Saccharomyces cerevisiae S288C: one gene and its partners. The gene in region 4 interacts genetically with the main gene of each other region. Each region holds a gene or a part of one and is shown on either strand. Other genes may lie near its edges. The genes, in order: CWH43, RGD1, ALG8 and GAB1.

Region 1 (6,540 bases), on a different chromosome or scaffold from region 4:
TAATAGATGATGATCCACTAAATATCACTACGCATTTATCCACTGGTAATTTGACAAAGAAAGAGAAAAAAAGAATCATTAATGGTGAGAGCAAATCCTCTACCAAAAAAGGGAAGCGTGTGTCGAAACCAGGGACGAAGAAGAAGGAAAAATTGTCAAAGGATGAAAAGAATTCGAAAAAAAATAAAATTCTTAAAGATCAATTACGTTACCTGATAGAATTTTTCAGGACAAAGTCTGAGAGCAAGTTTCCCACCGGAATCCTAGAATTGGAAAGTGTAAAAGAAAATTACGGCGACTCCCTGATCAAAGACGAGCCATCAGAGTCTGGTGTTGTTGAAGTTTGGAAATTTTCCAAGCAAAAGCAAAATTGGCTTATTAAGCATTTTTTCAACTTGGACGAAATCCCCTCAGTATATAATGATCTTTTGCTTTTATATTTCAGGGACTTACAAGGTAAATCAAAAGAAGAACTAATATCAAAATGCAAAGGAAAACTGAAGCAATGGAACGACTATGTGGAAGATCAAGAAACAAAAATAAAAGCGTTAATTGCAGAGGATAAGGCTAGCGAACCAATTAATGGTGAAGAAAAAGAAGAAGGTGAAAAAGACGGTAATGCCGAACAAGGGAAGCAAAAAGAGGTACAAGACGAGCAAGAGGAAGTACAAATGCCGAATAAAGAGCTTGTTCAAAGAAGTCTGAAATTACTAGAAATTTGGAAGAATGATGACTCGGAGCAGATAGAACTTAAGAATTTCTTCGTTGATGTTTAACATAGAGTTCAACAACGTTGTTCAGTTGTAGTATATATTTTACTGTGAAATACGCTCAAAAAGTAGCGGGATAAATCGTTTCAGGAAGTATAATTTCTTACAAAACTATAACAAGATCGTCTAAGTAACATACATAAAGAAATCACATAAATTTTTAAAATTCGAGGTCAAAAAAATCAGGTGGATACATAACTTACCTTAAGTTATCAAGATTTTCAGTACACACAATGTGATTACACTGATTTATAAAACCACCTTACGGCCTCTTATAAGTAATAACGTGGCTCATCAAAAACATGGTAGAAGTGACCCCTCTCACCTTCGCCTAAAAACTTATCTGGAAATTTCATGTCCTCATATTCCGGTTCACTCATATGACCGTATTCATACATAGAATCCGAGTGCTCTACTAACGCTTGCTCACTCAAAACTTGGAACTTACCAACTTGTAGCTCCGTATCGGTTATCGTTCCTCTTGCAACTCTAGCATATCCTGTTCTTCTCAAGCCCCTATACAAGATATACTCACACCATCTATCATCGTCAGAAGGATCAATGTCGTGCATTCCGGATGTTTCACTAACGTACGTATTGTAGTTGCCTTCACCTGGATCAACAACTAAGTAACTTAATAAAATAGCTGGGCGAGTCGTATTGCCCATGAGCTTAGCCATGTAGTTACTTTGCAGTCTTCTATCCTCTTCATCCTCTTCTTGTCCACTATGGAATACAAAGACGTCAACGAGAGTGTCATTGTACGTTTGAAGTGTGGCATGAATGGCTGGCGCAAGTTCCCCAACTGGAGAGGGCAATAAATGATGCGTAGAATTTACGATAGGGAATTTAGAAAGAAGAACACAGCCCCAGGTATGTTTATTTGGACCTGGTCCGAAATCTGCATACATATTCAAATCATGAGCTAGTTTGCTAGTTAGATCCCTGTTCCCCATGGTAATTCTTTGTGTATCTGTTTCTAGTAGACCTACCACATCTAGTTCCATATCTTTAATAAGGTTGATCATTCTGTCTTCAGATGCCCACATATCATTATCGAGACCAAAGTGGATAGTCCAAATACCAGCTGTAATCAACTGAGAATCTGGATGATAAGGCTGAGGAATTCCTGTAGGTCTAATATCATACACGAACCTAGCTGTTAGTGATAGCAGGGCCACGGCAAAGAAGAAAACATAAATGAAGAATTTTTTGCCCATAGTCACCAGTTGAATGTTAAGGTTTTTGCATGTTAAAGCACCAATAATGATAAATGTGGAAGAAAAGGCAAGAACCGTCTCAATCTTCTCCCTCAGTACCCAGCCCATTGGAACAAATGCGTATGCAACGACCCAAACATGGGCAAGGACAAAGATAATATAAACGGAGAATGATAGGACATAAACCCATATGTTTTGAACTTGGCCTAATGCAGAAAAATACGAAGGAACTAACCAAAGCATAGCGATAGCGTACAATAAACCACCGAAAATATATTTAGGCCATTGTGTAATGCTTCTAGCTGAAAGTACAGCAGTGGATATGAGAAGCAACAAACATGGAACTAATGGCTTGCCCATAAACTTCACAGAACTCAAAGAAGCAAATAACATGACCGTACAAGTTAAGGCGCCCCAAGGCCATGGCAAGGGACCGTGTGATTCATTGTAACCTTCCCATGCCCAATAAATAGTAGTAGAAGAATCCGTCAATAACTGATGAATTCCGAATAACAACGAGCCAAAACCAACAGCCAAAAATAATTTGCCAATCAACGAAGCAGATTTTGCTTGAGCATTCCTTTTCCCTTCGAAATTAATTGAATTAACATAAGGCGACAGCATGCCGAATAAAACAGTAAGCACGAGAGCTGTCTTATTATACCCACCATTACGTTCATCTAAAATGACCCAAGTTGGATTGTTGGTATAGAACCCCATTTTCAAGATCACAGATGCAACAAGACCTAACAGCCAAGTTAGAGCAAAAGAGAAACTAGTCTCCGCATTTGTGATATATCTTAGATTTTGTACAAACGTTGCAACGGTAATGGAAGTTCCCACAGCTACAGAAATCAACCTTAATTCTGGCATCTGAACAATATAGGCACCAATGGCAATAATACCTCCTAAAAGTACACCATATTGCGTGAAGGCTTCAGAAACGAACGGCAGATATAAGAAAATGGGTCCCAAATAACCCAATATTGCAGCTTCATAACCTGAGATTCCCATATACCATAGCGGGAAATGCCAAATACTACATAACAGGGACGTAACGTTCGACCAGAAAAGAAAACCGTTAAAAATATTTGTTAGTAAGTAAAAAAAAGAGTCAAACCTGAAATATGAACCAGTTGCGCTTCTAGCAACGGGTTTTTCCTTTTCAACCTTCTTTTCACCACTTTTCTGCAATTCTGAACTTTTTTCTTCTCCATAATTTATGGGACTAGAGTCTCTAATTTGGAAAAAACTGGTATTACCGGGTTTCTCATTAAAAGCGAGAACAATATCTATCTTTTTGAAATCAGCGTAAGCAAATGCATCAAATGCAATATCTAAAAGAATCAGAGACCATTCGAAATAAGCATATATAGAATATGCCCCAGCTCTCTGTTGGACGGAGTGCTGAATGTACCAGTAAATCATCGGGAACAATGTTCCAAAAAAAATTGTAGCAGTCAACCCTTTGTTCTTCGAAGTTAAAGGACTAGAATAGCGGGTAATCATTATATCCCATGGTAACGTTAAAACAATGTATGTGATCATAAATATATCATGAATATCGTGGTCATCTGTACTTGTAATGTATACCCAACCACCGCAAGAGACTGTCCGGAGTACACCGACAAGGAAGCATACCTTAGATTGGTTCAAGTAGTAGTGACCTAGTAGCAGTAAAAATCTTGGAAAAGCAGTTAGAGCTATTAAGATTTGGAAAATAGAACGTTCCGGATAGCGGTCCCCGATAGTGGCTGATACACTAGGAAACCACTCATCTGGATACGTATAATGTGCATTGGTTACAATTTTATGAAAATGTAATGAATAACCAGTGACCAAAGCTGCAAAGAAGGCGGAGAATGCACAAATAGTATGAGCTATAGGGATGATCTTCCCATTGATGATCAGCATAACTGGCGGTGGATACCTTCTGTATTCCTGGTTACTTATTCCTCGAGAAATCGGACATTAAAAGGGTGCAAATACTGTGGAGAAATTATAAGTTACCAAGTCAAAAAGCGAATGAGAATCTATTGTTGCGATTTTTTTGGTTACTACTTCTTACCCGAACTAACTTTACATAATAAAAAAGCATGAAGCGCATATTCAGGGACTCAAAAATCCCAAACTGGCACTTCTGTATATACCGATGAGCATACTTTGATTGTAAAAAACAACATTAAAAAGAACTGCAAACCTGAACCAAGAATACTTAATTTCAAAACCGAGAAATGAGGTACAACTTGTAGAAGTTCACTTAAACTTATTGAGCATACAATCTCAACAAAACTAACTGCAAAGTTTGTTGCTATAGTCATATAGTAATACTAGCAGGAAGCCATTAATCAAAAAGAAACTCCATATAAAACGTAATAAATATTATGAATAATAGTACAATATAAGAACAAAGACGAAGAAAATACATTATAACTGAAGTGCCAATATTAGAAAAAAAAAAGGTGGAATATCCTAGTGGAAAAATATCATCTATGCGGTGAAAGAATTAAATAGATACTATGGATTGTTTCGATCTATCCTTTTATCTGCTGCTTGCCTTTTTTTTTCATTCTCCTTCTTCAGTCTTTTTCCATAGGCGAGTCCACAGGGACTACAAAGTTCCCTGTTTTGGTCGGGTCCACTACGCCATTGAATTGTCCAAGTGTCTTTACATTTAGAGCATTCCTTTATCTCACCATTTGGGAGGATTGTTTGTCTCTTTTCTCTTTTAGGACGACTAGTAGTCTTTTTGCTGTATTTCTTCGTAATACTGGCAGACCGACTAGTTCCTTGTGCACAACTATGGTAGCCTTCAAGATTGTTTGCTTCTTGGCTAGTCGTACGTCTCTCGGAATTGCATGCACTAGTTACACGATTCTTTGAGGGTGTAATTTCGTTCAAAGAGCTGGTTTTGTTCTTAACAATATTTCTTGTAAGATCTCTTAGTTGTTCGGCATTCTCAATTTTTTTTTCAACATCAACAGCCCTTATTTGAGAAAAGGATACTTCAATAAATGAGCAACTTGCATAAACTCTTCCGCGTTCCTTATATGCCTTCTTTTTATCGTTTGACTTCCAGTCATCAATTTCTCTATTTAATAATAACGTTTTCTCCATATCTGACTTTTTAACTACTCTAGTTAAGAAGGAACTTCCAGAGTTGTCATAATTATTATATCGCATACTAGCAATAGTAAATGTCTGGTTATTTACCTAGCAACCTCTTAACAAAGCGATAACAATGAAACAGCAATATAAGTCTATTTAATTGACAACATCATTGATAAAAGTTTGAACAAGCGTCTAAAAGTCGAAGAAGTTCATTTCAAAGTTTTGTGTATCGAGCTTGATGATACTTATTTAGGGATCCGCTCTAGTTTACTGTGATACAACTGAAAAACATTACAAAGCTATCGCGCCTGCATTCTCATATTAGTGGCGTATGTTTGTGTCACATTCGATACTTCTACATAATACAATGACTGAACCCTTACCGCTGGCACAGGAATACCGCGCCGCGAAAGCAGGGTCTAGGAGAAACAATAGAATTCTTGGCGATGAGAGAGGGGAAGGCTTTAATAAAAAAAAATAGCGCTTATCCGATTCTGTTGGAATAAGTGGCTATCAATATTTACATGTTGATATGGTAGTAAGGATATAAATGCTTATATTGAATATTTGGAATAAGCATCAACTATCACTTATTGAAAAGGACTCGAACAAAAAAATATGAAATGTCGAAAGCCACATCACTGAGAAGTTGTTGGATTGAAGCTCTAAAATGTCATCTTTTAGTAGTATTCGTGTTACTAGTATATTATCACATGCGGTGTAAAAAGATGACGTAAAGATTGAGAAACAGTCATCAACTGTTATGGAAGCTGAAATGCAAATATTGATAATGTAATAGGATAATGAAACGTATAAAATGAAAAAGAATAATAAAATATTATTATGTAGAAATACCGATTCCATTTTGAGAATTCCTATATCCTTGAGAAGAACTTCTAGTATATTCTGTATACATAATATTACTGCCTTTATCAACAATGGAATGCCAAAAATTATCAAAATATCACCCAATATTCAATTTTATTGTTGTGAAGACATCAAGCCCTAGATATATATCATAGTAGGATAAAATAGTAGAATAAAACTATTCATATATCTACGTGAAAGCATCAGAGATTGTAATGTTGAGCGCCGTGGCGCAGTGGAAGCGCGCAGGGCTCATAACCCTGATGTCCTCGGATCGAAACCGAGCGGCGCTATTAAATTTTTTGAACTGTCCATTAATAATAATGGAACTGACGTCGTCAATTACCGGTAGCTTTTTTGCCCACATTTTTAATCATCTTTTAAGTATTTGAGTATTTGTTGTTCACTAGAGTTTTACTAATTAAGGTTCTGAGAAAATAAAGATATGCATTTAGAAAAGTCGGTTCTACACCGCAAATTTCTTTATTACAGAAACATTTTATACAAAGAGGATACATAGTTATTGGAAAGAAAATCAATTATCTTTTTGTTGGGTAGTATGAATATTACTT
Region 2 (5,881 bases), on a different chromosome or scaffold from region 4:
CTCAGAACCTAGCAAATCCATAACGGCCTTCGAGGTGAAGTTTTCTGATGGGATAAGGGTGATAGAGTGTTTTTGTCTGTGACGTTCTTGTTGCAAGATGTCAAACATCTCTGGATCTCCCTCCGAGACTGGTTTGGAGACTAGCGATTGTGCACCACTGGTGAGTAGCCCACGACGATGAACAGTTGCCATACATTTGGCCAATGCAGAAGCTCTGGGAAACATGATTGAAAGACTATGAGACTCGATGTGGAAATGTCGGCTTGATGATTTTTGATAGTTTGCTCTTCTCCAAGAGGCGATGGCTTTTAGTATTTTTTTTCTCATTGACCACCAATAAGCGAAGTACCTAAAAAAAAATAATGAGTCTTTTTTATATTCTATCTCTTGGACAGAAGGGGGACAGAACAGACAGTGGACTAAGAACCAGCAGATAACGGAGAGAATCATGTCGAAATTGGGTCCGTTAGCAAGATCTGTGAAGTGGACTCTCTCTGTGGGAGTAATCGGTTCTGTTTTTTACCTGTACCGATACAGTAACAATGGCTACTTCTACGATCACGATGCTACATGGTTGAAACAAGATCATCAGGTACAGGACCTGGTGGATAGAAAAGAAGTGGTACCTGGGGAGACCAGGAACCGCAAGCTAGTTGTGACGGATGATGGCACTGCATGGAGCAGGACCATGGGGGAGAGCATAAAAGATATTTGGAATGAACAGATAAGAAACTCTGTCGATTGGATCTACTCCTGGGGTAAGAATTAGCGAGCTTTCTATTTCTCCTACTGTAACGAACATCCTCATGTATATAACCTATTGTAACGACTCTGTGTAGAACTTTATATTCAGAAAAAATATCAAAAGAAAAATTTAATTATTAATCAGTACTTTTCACTCTGGTAATGTGCATCGGTGTCAAGAGCATCTCCAAGAAAGAATACATAAACAACAACGATGGACGTGCCTGCAGATTCCCATATCAAATACGAAGATGCCATCGACTATTGGACGGATGTGGACGCCACTGTGGATGGTGTTCTAGGTGGATACGGAGAAGGTACAGTAGTACCCACAATGGATGTCCTGGGATCCAATAACTTCCTGCGTAAACTGAAGTCGAGGATGCTGCCTCAGGAGAACAACGTGAAGTACGCTGTAGACATTGGTGCGGGGATTGGACGTGTAAGCAAGACCATGCTTCACAAGCACGCCGCTAAGATAGACCTTGTAGAACCGGTAAAGCCTTTTATCGAGCAAATGCACGTTGAATTGGCTGAGCTGAAAGACAAAGGCCAAATTGGACAAATATATGAAGTAGGGATGCAGGACTGGACCCCCGATGCCGGCAAGTACTGGCTGATCTGGTGCCAATGGTGCGTGGGACACCTGCCAGATGCAGAACTCGTCGCATTCCTGAAAAGATGTATTGTTGGTTTGCAACCTAATGGGACAATCGTGGTCAAAGAAAATAACACACCTACAGATACCGATGATTTCGACGAAACGGATTCTTCGGTCACAAGGTCAGATGCTAAGTTCAGGCAAATCTTCGAAGAAGCTGGCCTAAAGCTCATCGCCAGTGAAAGACAACGTGGCTTACCAAGAGAATTGTACCCAGTGAGGATGTACGCACTCAAGCCCATGCCAAACTAGGATCAAGGATGCATAGATTTATATAGATACGCCCCTTTTCTTGTGCTGGCATTCACCATTTGTGCCATTATATAGACTTTTTTTTCGATATATATGGAAAAAGAACCCAGAAAATAAAGAATGTGAACAAAATAGTATGTAAAGTAAAAACATACAATCTCGGAAGATTAAAAGAGAAGTGATATAGACAAGATGGAAGAGACTGCGAAGAAACCAGCTAGTGCCACAGTAAGTGCGAAGTCGTCGCACGATGGTGGCACCGACGATTTGGCGCACCTTTTTAGCACGCCAGAGATCAAGAAGGTGCTAAATTCCGATGTGGCAATTAACGCTTTGTTGAGCCGTTTAAAGCAGTCGTTGTTGACTTGTGAAGAGTTTATGAAATTTATTAGAAAGAAATACGCCTTCGAAGAAGAGCACGTTCAGGAGCTCTCCAAGCAATATAAGCACTTTTTCAACATTCAGGGTTCCACAAATTCATCCTTAAAAAAGATGATTCACGAAGTTTTGGGATTCGATGGCAAGATGGCTCAAGTAAAGCAGAGTTATATCACCGCCTTGCAGAAAATGTACTCCGAGATTAGTAGTCTTTTATTAACAATGACAAAATTAAGAAAGTCTGTCAAGGAGAACAGCAAAAGGCTGGAAAAGGATGTTTCTGATGCCATACACAGCGCAGAAAAGGCGCAATCTCGTTACAATTCGTTGTGCCAAGATTGGGACAAATTGAGGATGACTGACCCAACAAAAACAAAGCTGACCTTGAGAGGTTCCAAAACTACGAAGGAACAAGAAGAAGAATTGTTAAGAAAAATCGATAACGCCGATCTGGAATATAAGCAAAAAGTAGATCATTCTAATTCTTTGAGAAACACATTCATAACGAAGGAGAGACCTAGAATTGTTCAAGAATTAAAAGATTTGATTTTAGAAATAGACACAGCGATGACTATCCAATTGCAGAAGTACACGATATGGACGGAAAATTTGGTTCTGAATACAGGTGTTACAATAAGCCCATTGGACTCCACCAAATCTATGAAATCATTTGCTGGATCTGTTTCCAATGAACGTGATCTTTACAGTTTTTTGAACAAGTATAACCAAACAGGAAAACATTCCCTACTGATCAACAAAAACTTGATCCCTGTATCATACAAAAAGCATCCATCAATGAATCATGGTCAGAAAAATAAGAGCCCCCCAAAGTTTGCCGTGGACCCTTCAAGAAACTCCATCCCGAAGAGAATGATATCCACTCATAATGAATCTCCATTTTTGAGCAGTAGTAGTAACACTGCCGCTGTTCCGAATGCTAATCTTAACAGTGCTACACCGTCCTTAAATACCAACAAGCAGTTACCACCTACTATGGCTTCATCTATTTCTTCCACTAGCAATGCGGCTGGCGCTATGTCACCGTCTTCTTCCATTGTAACAAGCGACACCACATCATCCATAACAAAGACCCTGGATCCTGGCAACAATAGTCCACAAATTCCAGAAGAATTGATTAACTCTTTAGACTCGGATCGCCCGATTTCTCACATTCAGACTAACAACAATATGCCACCCGGTGTTCAAAAAAATTTCAAAACATTTGGTGTACCGCTAGAATCACTGATAGAATTCGAACAAGACATGGTCCCTGCGATAGTGCGCCAATGCATATACGTTATTGATAAATTTGGGCTTGATCAAGAAGGAATTTATAGAAAATCGGCAAATGTACTTGATGTCAGCAAGTTGAAGGAGGAAATTGATAAGGATCCCGCAAACATTTCCATGATTCTACCATCAAAGCCACATTCTGATTCGGATATTTATTTAGTAGGATCACTGCTGAAAACTTTTTTTGCGTCGCTGCCTGATAGTGTTTTACCAAAGGCCCTATCATCGGAGATCAAGGTTTGTTTACAAATTGAAGACCCAACAACAAGAAAAAATTTTATGCACGGACTAATATATAACCTCCCCGACGCACAATACTGGACGTTAAGGGCTCTTGTCTTTCATTTGAAAAGAGTGTTGGCACATGAAGCCCAAAACAGAATGAATTTAAGGGCTCTTTGTATAATTTGGGGTCCAACTATTGCGCCTGCAAATCCAGATGACGCTAATGATGTAAATTTTCAAATTATGGCAATGGAAGTATTATTAGAGGTTTCAGATCAAGCTTTTGAGCCTGAATAAACATAGCACTTATGATATTTTCATTCCGTCTTTAATTTCCACTTGTATGTACATTGACGCTGTTATCAGATTTAAGTAAAAACAAAGGAAAATTATATATTGAGAAAAAAAAAAATTCTGTTGTACTATTCCATAATAATTTACTACAAAACTTGCTAAGGTCCAACTCCCTGTCTTCACGGTTGTTAAATTAACCTTATTAATGATGTTTTCTGTCCATCCCTTTTGTACTTAAAATTAAATGCGTAAAACTTTTGTCCTTTTTCGTTCTCTTTCAACAACAATAGTTTCAATTTTGTTAGCCTGTTCAAATTGTACAATAAGATTTCATTCCGTTTACTTGTCGGTAAAACAGCTAATTTTTCCTGTATGCTAGTTAATGATAAGGAATCAACTTCATTATATAAGTACAATATGCTCGTAGTACACATGTTGGAAACGAGTTTCAAATGCGTATTTCTTGTAGTATCGATAATAATTGGTAGTTCAATTTCAAAAAGGTGGAATGCAAATGCGTCTTGCAAAATTTGACCCCTCTTTAATTGCTTATTCGCGAAATCTGGCCAACTATTCGCAATTGATTGGTTAGGCCAAAATGGTTCATTGAAATCTTTGTTAACTTCAGATAGTGACTTAAATTCTTTGTAGGACAAAATAATGACACCAGATGAAGTTTTGTCATCACTTGTCACTGTTACATTTTTGAGTGATTCTATGCTAGACTTGATCAAATTATTTATCGCATGTACCAAAGAGGGTTCTAGAATTTGGAGAGATTCTATTACTAGCCGTTCCAAGCAACCTTCCATGAAATATAGTTGAGCAAACTTTGCACCGTAATATAATATCCTTTTAAAAATACTGGGCAGATAATAAATCCGAAAAAACTTTCTCTTCTCAGGTAAGTAATATCGCAGCAGCGATATAATTGCATATATCTTGTGAGAATCAAATATTGCTGATGCGTCAGGTGTAGGTGTTTGCTCATTTGTGTAAATCTTTGGATATACTTTGTCTCGCCACAACGGTTCATCATTATCAATAAAATGTGAGTATTCATCGATAGGCGAAACATGCATTCCAATTTTGTTACCATCGTCTAAGATAGAAGAAGGCATATTATGACTTTTCCTTCTATCCTGAGTTTTCGATGACGTCATCAATGTGCTGTAATTATTTTTAAATTGGGAATTCAAGTACTTTATCACTTGAATATGAAAATCTTTAACGTCATTAATGTGTTCTTTGAAGTTTTTTCTCAGTAAGCGCAAAAAGAATATACCATCTGCCTTCGTATCTACCTGTTCCTTATTGAAATAAGGAAACATATCATTAAAAATAAGGGCACGAATTAAGCTTTCAACTTTATCATTACTATCCCACTTTAAAGATCGTATATGCGCAAAGTCTTGAACTAATGCTTCTTCCCCATAAGGCCGGAATGCGCTGAACATATTTTGAAGGTCATTTAATCTAAGAACGGCAGAAGAAATCGAAGAGAACACAAGATTTTTGGATGTCCAGATTAATTCAGCACCGTCGATCCTAACTTGCTCTCCAGTGAATGCATCGATACAGTTGGCGACATAAACAATCTTTTCCCAAGGTATAATGAGTTCTTTCAGAGGATCGCTAGATTTTTGAAGATCAAAATTCTCGTAAAATTTCACCAAACATTCTTTGAGTTTCATTCGAAATTCGTACATGAACTGGAGTTGCCTTTTATCATCAGAATCCCATTTCCAAGACGAATACTCAGCCATTAGTTTGTAAAAGATTTGAAAGTTAGATCCATTATCTGGCCATCGCTCTTTTTTAATGAACTCATCTAAAGATGCCACCCAGAATCTTGAGAGTGTAAGCCCGGTAGTTTGGACTTCGGTTTCTAAGTAGTCGATTGCTGCAAACTTTAACTCGTAGTATTTCTTCATGCCGCAATATTTGTTTATTTGTCCACTCAAAGCTTGGAAGTGAGATTGATATATGTAATTTAAATGGAGGAATTGCTGAACATCTGTTTCTGAGGAAAAC
Region 3 (5,503 bases), on a different chromosome or scaffold from region 4:
AGAAGACTCAGCATCGATCATCATCATAATTTGGCGGCAACTACGAGAAAGGGCAGATACAGGGGCGTTCTTCTTTCTACTCCCACCAAGAAATCGAGCACTAATGGCTCTACGCCGATCTCTACCCCGTCTTCGAATGACAGCTATAATAACACGGTGTTTTCTGAAACAAGGAAAACCTTTCTTCAGAGTTCGCCGCCTATCATGACGTCTTCTCCAGCTTTCCAAAAGAAAAATGACTACATGTTTCCTTCACAGGAACAATTCAAACTTTCTTTAACCATTACCGAAAGTGGGAAGGCCGTTATTGCAGGATCTTTGCCTTTCTCTCCATCGTCAAAATCGTCTCATTTAATGAACAATAATAATAAAAAGATCATGCAAAATGAAAAAATTCACAAAGGAAGCAAGAAAAATGCACCCAAGTTTGAGAAGAGACGTATTCTTTCTCTCTTAAAACAGATGAAGAATGAGAAATATTGTGATACTGATACGCTCCCCGAAGCACCTCCAGCGAAACCAAGCAGATCTGACATCATCGACACAGAATTGCCGACTATCATAGAAACTTCAGCTTCTCCAATAGGCAGTGCTAGAAACAATAATATACTGCTTTCGCAACCACCACAATCACCCCCTTCAAGCGCGCAACTTAAGCCCCCATCCACTCCAAAGAGTTCTCTACAATTCAGGATGGGATTTACTCCCAATGTTGCACTAAATTCCGTATCATTAAGTGATACTATATCCAAATCTACAAATGCTGTGGGTGCCAGCAATAATAACAATCAGAACGGTAATTCCATTAGCAATATCGCGGATGCTAATACTTTACTTACCTTGACTAATAGCCCGGGAGTTTTCTTATCACCTCGAAACAAAATGTTGCCCAAGTCGACTACTGCATCTAACGAACAACAGCAGGAATTCGTGTTTAAGTTTTCAAGTGGTGACCCGTTATTGCTTACTGACGACGCAGATGGGAATTGGCCAGAAATGCTGTTCAATGTATCTAATACGCCCAGACGTCAAAAATGTTTTAACACACCTCCTTCATGGATAAACTTTGGTTCACCTGGATTATTCAGCCCACCAAGAAGCTCTAATGTCATGGTAAATGGCACCACTGTAGCCACCGCATCGGATAGCGGCAACGTCCATAGACAATTACAAGCTCAATTGGAGGCGCAAGTGCAAGTGCAATCGCAATCCAATTCTCCTACTCAAAGGCAACAACAACAGCGTCAATTTCAAATACCCCCACCTCACATAAACATGAACTCTTCCCCGCCACAAATCAATATCGCTTCCCCACCTCATCAATCTATGTCTCGGGTGTCATCTATTTACTTCAACAAAGAAAAAACCACAACAGGGGTAGCAAATATGCTAGGTAACACCAAAAGCGAAAACTTACAGCCGCCGGCGAATTTATTTACCGCTGCCCATGGACCTTCAACTCCTAGAAATCAAGAATTTCAATTACCCACTTTGATTGAATGCACTCCATTAATCCAGCAAACCATGAATGGCTCATTAGGAACCAAATACATACCAGGTACTTCAATTTCGAACAGTGCAACTCCTAATTTACACGGGTTCCCTGTTGGAACCGGGAAAGCTCCCTCTAGCTTTGACGATTCACTAAAACAAAACCCGTACAGCAACAAACAGGATGATGCTAGAACTGCCTTGAAAAGATTAATCGATGATCAGTGAAAATAGTCATAGATTCATGAAAACGATATGAGCCAAAAGGACCATTCAATAATCATGAAGCGTTAAAAAATAGTTTACTTACCTTTTTTCCTTCTTAAAGCATTTTCCCAGAGCTGATAGATAATATATTGAAGTAGTACTTATATACCTTTCAACTGATGCATGTGAATGGAGTTGACCTTCATTCAGTTTAATGTAATGTTATTTTAATTCAAGTGTAAAACGCACAATACGTAAACGAAAAATAATGAGGAACTGGCGTGAGGGACTGCATAAATCGAAATCTAATCGTTATTCAATTAGTTAGTAGGTGAAAATGTACAATAAATATTTCTAAAATCGATTCATATATAAATAATTTTATATCACTTTTTTTTTAACGTCCTAGGGAAGCGATATTGTATCACTGCCATAGTAATTCGTCAAAATTATATAACCACGATAAGGCAAACCACGAGCTGATTATACCTAATGAACAATAGACACTATATATCATTAATCCTAAGAATTCAAATTTTTGCAAAAATGAATATCTCCACTTGACTTCATCCAATATTTGTAATACGGTGACGATTGGTAACAATGAAAAGATGTACGTTAATGCCAACCTATCCAAGAAAAAGATTCTTCTTTCTACACTTGAAGAAATCTTCGTAGTTTTTCTAAAAGCGGCAAAATAAATTATACACCAAACATAAGTGTATAATGTTTTAATGAAAAAATCTTGGCCTTTGTACAGAAGAGGATACAAGGAAACATAACCAGCTGAGGCAACTAACATAAACGGTACCAAAAGACGACGATCAAATCCAACAAGAAATGTGAACGGAATGATGACTAGCATTATAGCTTTCTCATGCACATGCCACCCGAACAAAAACGATGCCAACCCACAGAGAGTCAACGAGCCAACAAATCTTTTGAACGATGGATCAAACAAAAGTGGAAGTACTGCTAAGACCTGGTAAAATATCGTCAAAATAAACGTTAATTTTGGAGGAATTTGAGGGAGAATAACAAAAAATACGTCTTGAACTAGACCTTTACTTCCATTGTTGTTTGCCGCGAGCCTTTCATTAATTTCCTTGATATTCTGAGGGATCAGAGGAGGTTTAATAAATTTTGTAGCAAAAGTGTGGACGTACGGTAATTTCAACATTACCGTAGTGAGTATTTTATCCATAAAAGAATACAACGCCCAGAAATTTGGTGCCCAATATGCATGCGTCAGTCCTCTTGAGAATGGGAATAACCTGCTCAACACTTGCGGCATTTGATGAGCAAATGGAAGGAAACAAATAGTGAAAATTCCAACAACAACGGTAGCCAACTTCAAAAGATTTGCCCATCTTATCAGGAACAAAAAATCTTTGTAACTTTTAAACTTGAAATTGTTGACATTGAGAACGTATGCTCTCAATAAAAACACGAAATAACATGGCGCCAAATATAAAAATATATGCTTGAAACATATGGCTGTAGTATACAGAACAGCGCACAAGATGTATCTCTTATTCTTGGCGGCGACAATGGAGCCTATTAGAATCGCAAAAAGAAAACCATTATATTGGAAGTGAATGTGATCTATTATTAAAAACCCGGGTGATAGTACAATGCTAGAAGCAACCACAAAACTTTGAGATCTTTCACTTAGCTTTGTAGTATTAATGTATATTTGAAGGATGACAAATAGAAGAATTTCGCTGAAGATGACAGTGAGTCGTTGGAAAACGATTGTTGGCAAACCGAACTTTCCGATCTCCACTATATCCAAACAACCGTCATCACGTACAGATTTAGGAACAAATTGCGATAAAAACCATTCAAAATAAGCAAAAAATGGCGGATAATCCAATGTCCATTGACTAGTGTGCTCATAATACCATTCGCTGATGGGCAATTTATTGGTGATTGCCAGCCAATTTCTATGAACGTCAAAATCTGTACTGAAGTAGTCAGGAATCAATAGTAATTTTAAAAACAATGTGCTTATCCAGAAATTCCATAAGGAGTAGCGCTTGGATCCCTCACCTTTTTCGGTCGCGGCAGTCTTCAAAACCTTTTTTGGCTCGTCATTTTTTTTTAACTTTGCCTTCTTTGTCACAGCCATATTTTGCCTCGAACGATCACCTTTCATCGTAGGCTATCCAATAGACGTCAAATGCCTTGCTGACCACTACAGAACTGTAATGAACTTCAGCTATTTTTAACGTATGTTATTCTATAATTCTATACCACTATTGTCGTTTTGAAAAATGAAATTTCACTTTTCGGAAGTTGTCCGCTAAGAACAACTAAGTGATAACAGTAAATTTTAAAAATGCTTTGAAAAATGGGTTAAGCAAAGGTTATTTACTATAACTACGTAGTGAACGAAACCATATATCTCTTAATTTGCAGCAGGGATTTTATAAACTTTCATACATCCTGCAATAACAAGCCATGGACTACGAGGATAATCTAGAAGCACCTGTTTGGGACGAACTAAATCATGAGGGAGATAAAACTCAGAGCCTCGTTTCAAATTCAATTGAATCAATTGGTCAAATATCTACAAATGAAGAAAGAAAAGACAATGAGCTTTTAGAGACCACAGCTTCATTTGCGGACAAGATAGACTTGGATAGTGCGCCAGAATGGAAAGACCCTGGTTTGTCGGTGGCTGGTAATCCGCAACTAGAGGAGCATGACAATTCCAAAGCTGACGATCTTATTAATTCTTTAGCCCCTGAACAGGATCCGATTGCTGATCTCAAGAATAGCACTACACAATTTATTGCAACAAGAGAATCCGGTGGCGCATTGTTCACTGGAAACGCCAACTCTCCCTTAGTTTTTGACGATACGATATACGATGCTAACACTTCACCAAATACTTCAAAAAGCATCTCTGGAAGAAGATCCGGCAAACCACGAATTCTGTTTGATTCCGCCAGAGCTCAAAGAAACTCCAAACGCAACCATTCTCTGAAAGCGAAGAGAACAACTGCTTCCGATGATACCATCAAAACACCCTTTACTGATCCCTTAAAGAAAGCTGAAAAAGAGAATGAATTTGTTGAAGAGCCATTGGACGATAGGAATGAAAGGAGAGAAAACAATGAGGGCAAGTTCACAGCTTCTGTTGAAAAAAATATCCTTGAGCAAGTGGACAGGCCTTTATACAATCTTCCTCAGACAGGTGCTAATATTTCAAGTCCTGCTGAGGTCGAGGAAAACTCAGAAAAGTTTGGAAAAACCAAGATTGGCTCAAAGGTGCCACCAACCGAAAAGGCTGTGGCTTTCAAAGTTGAAGTTAAAGACCCGGTCAAAGTAGGAGAGCTAACATCCATTCATGTGGAGTATACTGTAATCAGTGAATCATCATTACTTGAGCTAAAATATGCACAGGTAAGCAGGCGTTACAGAGATTTCAGGTGGCTATATCGTCAATTGCAGAACAACCATTGGGGTAAAGTAATACCACCACCACCAGAGAAGCAATCAGTAGGCAGTTTTAAGGAAAATTTCATTGAAAATAGAAGATTTCAAATGGAAAGCATGTTAAAAAAAATATGTCAAGATCCGGTTCTACAAAAGGACAAAGATTTTCTACTCTTTTTGACAAGTGATGACTTTAGTTCAGAGTCTAAAAAAAGGGCATTTTTGACTGGATCTGGCGCTATTAATGATAGCAACGATCTGTCAGAAGTCCGGATAAGTGAGATACAACTACTAGGTGCAGAGGATGCTGCCGAGGTCTTAAAAAATGGGGGTATCGACGCGGAATCGCACAAGGGATTTA
Region 4 (5,103 bases):
TTTCTATCGGTGATTATATTTATGGGTTCATTCACGGATCTTCCGTAAGGTTTCCTTCCAATGGTGCTTTTGCTGAATATTCTGCTATTTCAACTGTGGTTGCCTACAAATCACCCAATGAACTCAAATTTTTGGGTGAGGATGTTCTACCTGCCGGCCCTGTCAGGTCTTTGGAAGGTGTAGCCACTATCCCAGTGTCACTGACCACAGCCGGCTTGGTGTTGACCTATAACTTGGGCTTGGACCTGAAGTGGGAGCCATCAACCCCACAAAGAAAAGGCCCCATCTTATTATGGGGCGGTGCAACTGCAGTAGGTCAGTCGCTCATCCAATTAGCCAATAAATTGAATGGCTTCACCAAGATCATTGTTGTGGCTTCTCGGAAGCACGAAAAACTTTTGAAAGAATATGGTGCTGATGAATTATTTGATTATCATGATATTGACGTGGTAGAACAAATTAAACACAAGTACAACAATATCTCGTATTTAGTCGACTGTGTCGCGAATCAAGATACGCTTCAACAAGTGTACAAATGTGCGGCCGATAAACAGGATGCTACAATTGTTGAATTAAAAAATTTGACAGAAGAAAACGTCAAAAAAGAGAACAGGAGACAAAACGTTACTATTGACATAATAAGGCTATATTCAATAGGTGGCCATGAAGTACCATTTGGAAACATTACTTTACCAGCCGACTCAGAAGCTAGGAAAGCTGCAATAAAATTTATCAAATTCATCAATCCAAAGATTAATGATGGACAAATTCGCCATATTCCAGTAAGGGTCTATAAGAACGGGCTTTGTGATGTTCCTCATATCCTAAAAGACATCAAATATGGTAAGAACTCTGGTGAAAAACTCGTTGCCGTATTAAACTAGATGACGAACAGATATTATTTTCTTTCATATACATAGTTATTACGTTTAGTTATAGTGACTTAGTTTTTTTTTTTTTTTTAATGAAATTGTTTGTTATTGATCACCCCTTGTAGGGGCAACAGATGAGCACAGTGAAAATCATAACTCATTATGTGATTCGTTGTGAGTAACCCTTCCATGATTATATATCCTAACTATCTACTATCCAACTACTACATATCTATTGAACTCATATGTACCAAGCACATAAATTTATGCACCCATTTCCATTGGCAAAGACTTGGCGAAATTTAATACACTGTAATAATATCCGGCGAAGCTCTTTAAGTATTCTTACCTATAATGGCGGCTCGCTGTCCGAACGATTGCGCCGCACTTTTCTGCCTCTTACATTCCTTTTTCCTAAGGCGATAAGCAGGCTGAATGGAAACTACAATATATTGCAATAGAGCTTCCCCAAGGAACTCCCACTTTCCTTGGATTATTACAAAGAGAGTTTTACCTTTTAGGTCATTCTCACAGCAGATCCAAATATGTAGAACCTGTTTTAGAACAACAAATAGAAATGATGTGTTACAGAGTACCGTTTAAACTGAGTCATCACGTAATATTCTAATTATGTTTTTTTTTTTTAAATTAGCTAATGTAAACAGGCTGGAATGTATGGGAACTCATCACTTCGTAACTGATTCCATCTTCTATCTACCATAACTTTAAAAAAGATTATCGATAGTCTAAAAATACGCGATACACATTCTTTCTTCGTCCGTTAATGATAAAGCTCTTTTTATGTTAATGTACATGGGTTGTCAAACTACCCTTCCCAAAAAGACAGCACAAAATATATATTTATGCCGTGCTATTCTATGATAATATATTGGCTTTCACCTAATGGAAGCCCTAGCGAAGATAACCTTTTTCATACGACTTTTGGTGGGAAAGAAATTGGCATAGTCCCAAGTACAATGTTGTTATTATGTAGGAGCTTAATCCGCAGATCATACACTCTATCTCAATTCTTCGTATTATAACGCTCATGATTAATTAGGTCCTTCTGAGTTCTATCTTTTCTCTCCGAGACAATATTATGCAAATTTTAACCAAGCAGTTTCTCTTAAAAAATAGATAGCCTCTGGAATAACCAATATGGCTCTCATATTCGCTTTATCCACTCTTACGATGAACATCTGTATGGTTCTTTTTATTCTAGTTTATGTACGTTTATAGACGGGAAGTAGTTAAATTTGTGTTACCTTCAATTTGAAATTTGGGATACCGTTATCGTATTCAATTCTCAGCATCGCCCAGTTCAAGTCAACTAATATAGATGCTATAGCCAGAGCATAAACTAGGGAAATAGCATAGAAAAAATTACTATTCCCTGAACCTAAAACAACCCAAAGATGATAGAAAATTGGCGCCAAAACAATTGCGTGTAAAAACAGTAATGCTGATATGATGGGGTATCTTAAATATCCAAATAGTGGCGTGAAGAAAGGTAGGAAGCTGAAGAAAAAACCAGCGTCACCTAGTGAGGGATATGGCTTTGTAAGGACAATCCACCCAATGCATAAAATGAATGCGTAGAATGGCTGCTTATGATAGCGCAAAGTAAATGGTGTAATGAATACTGCAATAAAAATGTTGAATACAGCCTTGAAGAACGGTATGAAGGTGTCAAACATTTCAATGAAGAAGTACCACCACAAACCCAGATTTGGAAAAACCTTCTCAAAGGTTATAATAGATCCATAAACCTGTGTCAAAAATGACCAACTTTGGCTGCCTAATATACTGTAGCTGAATAATAGCAGAATTAATAAAGATAGTATGGAAACAATGGCAGATAATATTCTTTGCCTCCAACTTTTCAGCATACCTAATAGCGGAATTAAGAGGAGAATAGGGTATACTGACAAATATCCAGATATAGAAATCATAACAGAGGACAAAAGAACGTTTCCTTCAGCTAATATGCAATACAATGACGATGAAATAGCAAAATTTGTGAATATGATTGATGACCGACTAATGCACGATAAAAGGGTCAAAGGATTCACGGCATAAAGAAGTCCAGGTAGCCAAACTTTCAGTTTCAAGTTTTTGAAAGCCTTTGTTACCTCTGTCAGCTGATACGCAATTAATCCATCAATTAAAGCGTATATGAGGGAAATTAACCTGTCGGAATTAAAGAGGGAAAGAAAAAAAATCAAAATTGGAGGATGGTGAACAACCCCATGATTATATACTTGGATGTTGTTCCGCAGTAGGTATATACCTTCCTGTAGTGACCTAAATGAAGTTACGGGAGTTGAGAATTCTACAGACTGGTCCAGTTGTTGTTGTAGAGAGGGAAAAAGGCTGTTCACAGCCAAACGAATTGCAATACAGCCTAGAGCTACCTTAAGTGCTGTGGAATCCATTGGTCTCCTTTTGGTGAGTTTTTCATATAAGATCACGTTGTTTATATGAATTACTGTTCTAAAACTGGTTAGTTTTGAAAACAAAGGTCATTTCACTTAATGGAATATTTGTTTTACCCGGAATACGTAACATATCGTTTGCCAATAGACGTCTTTAAGAAGGATGTTTTAGCTTCCTTTGAGAATTATGCTACCAATAATGCAGATAGATATGTTGGAAATAACTGTTTTGACAAGAGCTTGAGATTTACTTGTTTAATGTATACTCATATAGAAACATCGAAAACAAATGAGGAAAGAAATTGAGAGCTGAGATCAATGTTAATTTTCATTCATTTGATGTTATACCTTTACACTTTAAAAATAACTCATCCGAAACAGCCAATGGTCTATCCTTGACCTTCGCCAACGCCTCTTATACTTTCATTAGAGGCCACTCTAGCACAATTCGTGACGCGTCATAGTATAGAAACGATGCGCGCATCAACAATTATGAAATTATTGCTGAACATGAACAAGTAGATACTCTGAAGAGAAAGGTACAATAATAGACATTGGTAATATGCTAAAATCCGTACAGGGACTGTGGAAAGATTTTTTTGGAATACGAGATGATGGCAGGAAACGAGAATACGGGTCCCTTGATGAAGTGAGAAAACGATCTGCCTTAAGGAGCAGAAGAAAGCAGATGCGTCCTACGGGTAAAAGCGTTCTAAAAAGACCTAGAAAGGTGACAGATAGGAAAACTGAAGAAAAAATTCGTACTAACAGGAGGAAAACACCCAAACGAAGGTTAACAAAGATATTCCAGACAATCAGAGATGTTTTTTCCAATGATAATGAAAATATGAGCAAGATGCAAAATGTTTGTGGCGACATGACTAGAATTTTGAAGAAGAGATCCCAGGGAAGACCTTCTTATATGGACACAGATACAGCCAAATCTAGGATCCTAAGGAGTGATGCCTTTAAGAGAAAGATATCGGAGTTGAAATACAATAAGCAACGGATCAGTGAACTAAGAAGTGGTAGTTCTGACGGGTCGAGTGGAAAAGATAGAAATCAATCATTATACTTAGATAGAGAAATTCTTCTACAGCGGCAAATTAAGAAAAGAGATGAGAAAATAAAAGCCTTGGAAAGCAAGCTACAATCATTACAAGAAGCATTGAATTACTCAAATGAGAAGTACAGGATTTTGGAGGATTTACTAGATTCTTCAAACATTCATCCATCATACACCAAATCTAGGAGAACCATGTCTAATCTAGCTAGAGAAAACGATGAGATTAAGCCCTTGAAAATTGATCTTTCCCCGTCTCCAATAAGAAGAACGAATTCATTATTCACTTCCAGCCCCATGAAAACATATAATCGGGATGGAAATATACCAGAGATGCAGCCGTTACAGGAAAACATATCTCCCGCCTGTCCCACTCCACCCTATCGTTCAAGGGAAACTGAAAAAGAGGATGAAACACTTTCACCAATCTCAGTGGACTTTTCAAGTTATTTATCTTAATTTCTCCTGTGAAATTAAAAGTATTCTCCATATATGGAGCGCGAAGATCACGGCCTAATCCTCATGATTCATTTTATAGATGCTTTATATAATAATTAGAGTACACATAGTTTTCATCATATTTCCGTTAAACTGGTTGTACTGTTTGGCCGTATGTAGAAGTATTATTTTCCATGTCAGAGACTTTTATTTTTTGTATATTTACCTTTATTATGGCTGTATCTTCTCCTAGTATAAAAATATCTGCGTCTGGATTGACTGTTAATAACAACCG

Evidence for each region.
Region 1: mutations in GAB1 (region 4) and CWH43 together harm fitness more than expected from each alone (negative genetic interaction), as found in Saccharomyces cerevisiae (3 studies listed by BioGRID).
Region 2: mutations in GAB1 (region 4) and RGD1 together harm fitness more than expected from each alone (negative genetic interaction), as found in Saccharomyces cerevisiae (3 studies listed by BioGRID).
Region 3: mutations in GAB1 (region 4) and ALG8 together harm fitness more than expected from each alone (negative genetic interaction), as found in Saccharomyces cerevisiae (2 studies listed by BioGRID).

The regions. Positions count from the first base shown.
Region 1 is NC_001135.5:143,731-150,270, forward strand, and holds CWH43 (Cwh43p), read right to left. Parts: upstream 3,905-6,540; coding exon 1,043-3,904; downstream 1-1,042. Other genes in the region: RNA-binding ribosome assembly factor RBP95, read left to right, coding at 1-776; SRD1 (Srd1p), read right to left, coding at 4,508-5,173.
Region 2 is NC_001134.8:730,608-736,488, reverse strand, and holds RGD1 (GTPase-activating protein RGD1), read left to right. Parts: upstream 1-1,849; coding exon 1,850-3,850; downstream 3,851-5,881. Other genes in the region: glycine hydroxymethyltransferase SHM1, read right to left, coding at 1-225; MIC12 (Mic12p), read left to right, coding at 449-769; TAE1 (N-terminal protein methyltransferase), read left to right, coding at 959-1,657; YBR259W (uncharacterized protein), read right to left, coding at 4,036-5,881.
Region 3 is NC_001147.6:449,607-455,109, forward strand, and holds ALG8 (dolichyl-P-Glc:Glc1Man(9)GlcNAc(2)-PP-dolichol alpha-1,3-glucosyltransferase), read right to left. Parts: upstream 3,857-5,503; coding exon 2,123-3,856; downstream 1-2,122. Other genes in the region: MSA1 (Msa1p), read left to right, coding at 1-1,719; VPS5 (sorting nexin 1), read left to right, coding at 4,162-5,503; VAM10 (Vam10p), read right to left, coding at 4,263-4,607. UniProt on the Saccharomyces cerevisiae protein: Dolichyl pyrophosphate Glc1Man9GlcNAc2 alpha-1,3-glucosyltransferase that operates in the biosynthetic pathway of dolichol-linked oligosaccharides, the glycan precursors employed in protein asparagine (N)-glycosylation.
Region 4 is NC_001144.5:1,055,538-1,060,640, reverse strand, and holds GAB1 (GPI-anchor transamidase subunit GAB1), read right to left. Parts: upstream 3,308-5,103; coding exon 2,123-3,307; downstream 1-2,122. Other genes in the region: YLR460C (uncharacterized protein), read left to right, coding at 1-884; NBP1 (Nbp1p), read left to right, coding at 3,870-4,829; YLR456W (pyridoxal 5'-phosphate synthase), read right to left, coding at 4,957-5,103. UniProt on the Saccharomyces cerevisiae protein: Component of the GPI transamidase complex. May be involved in the recognition of either the GPI attachment signal or the lipid portion of GPI.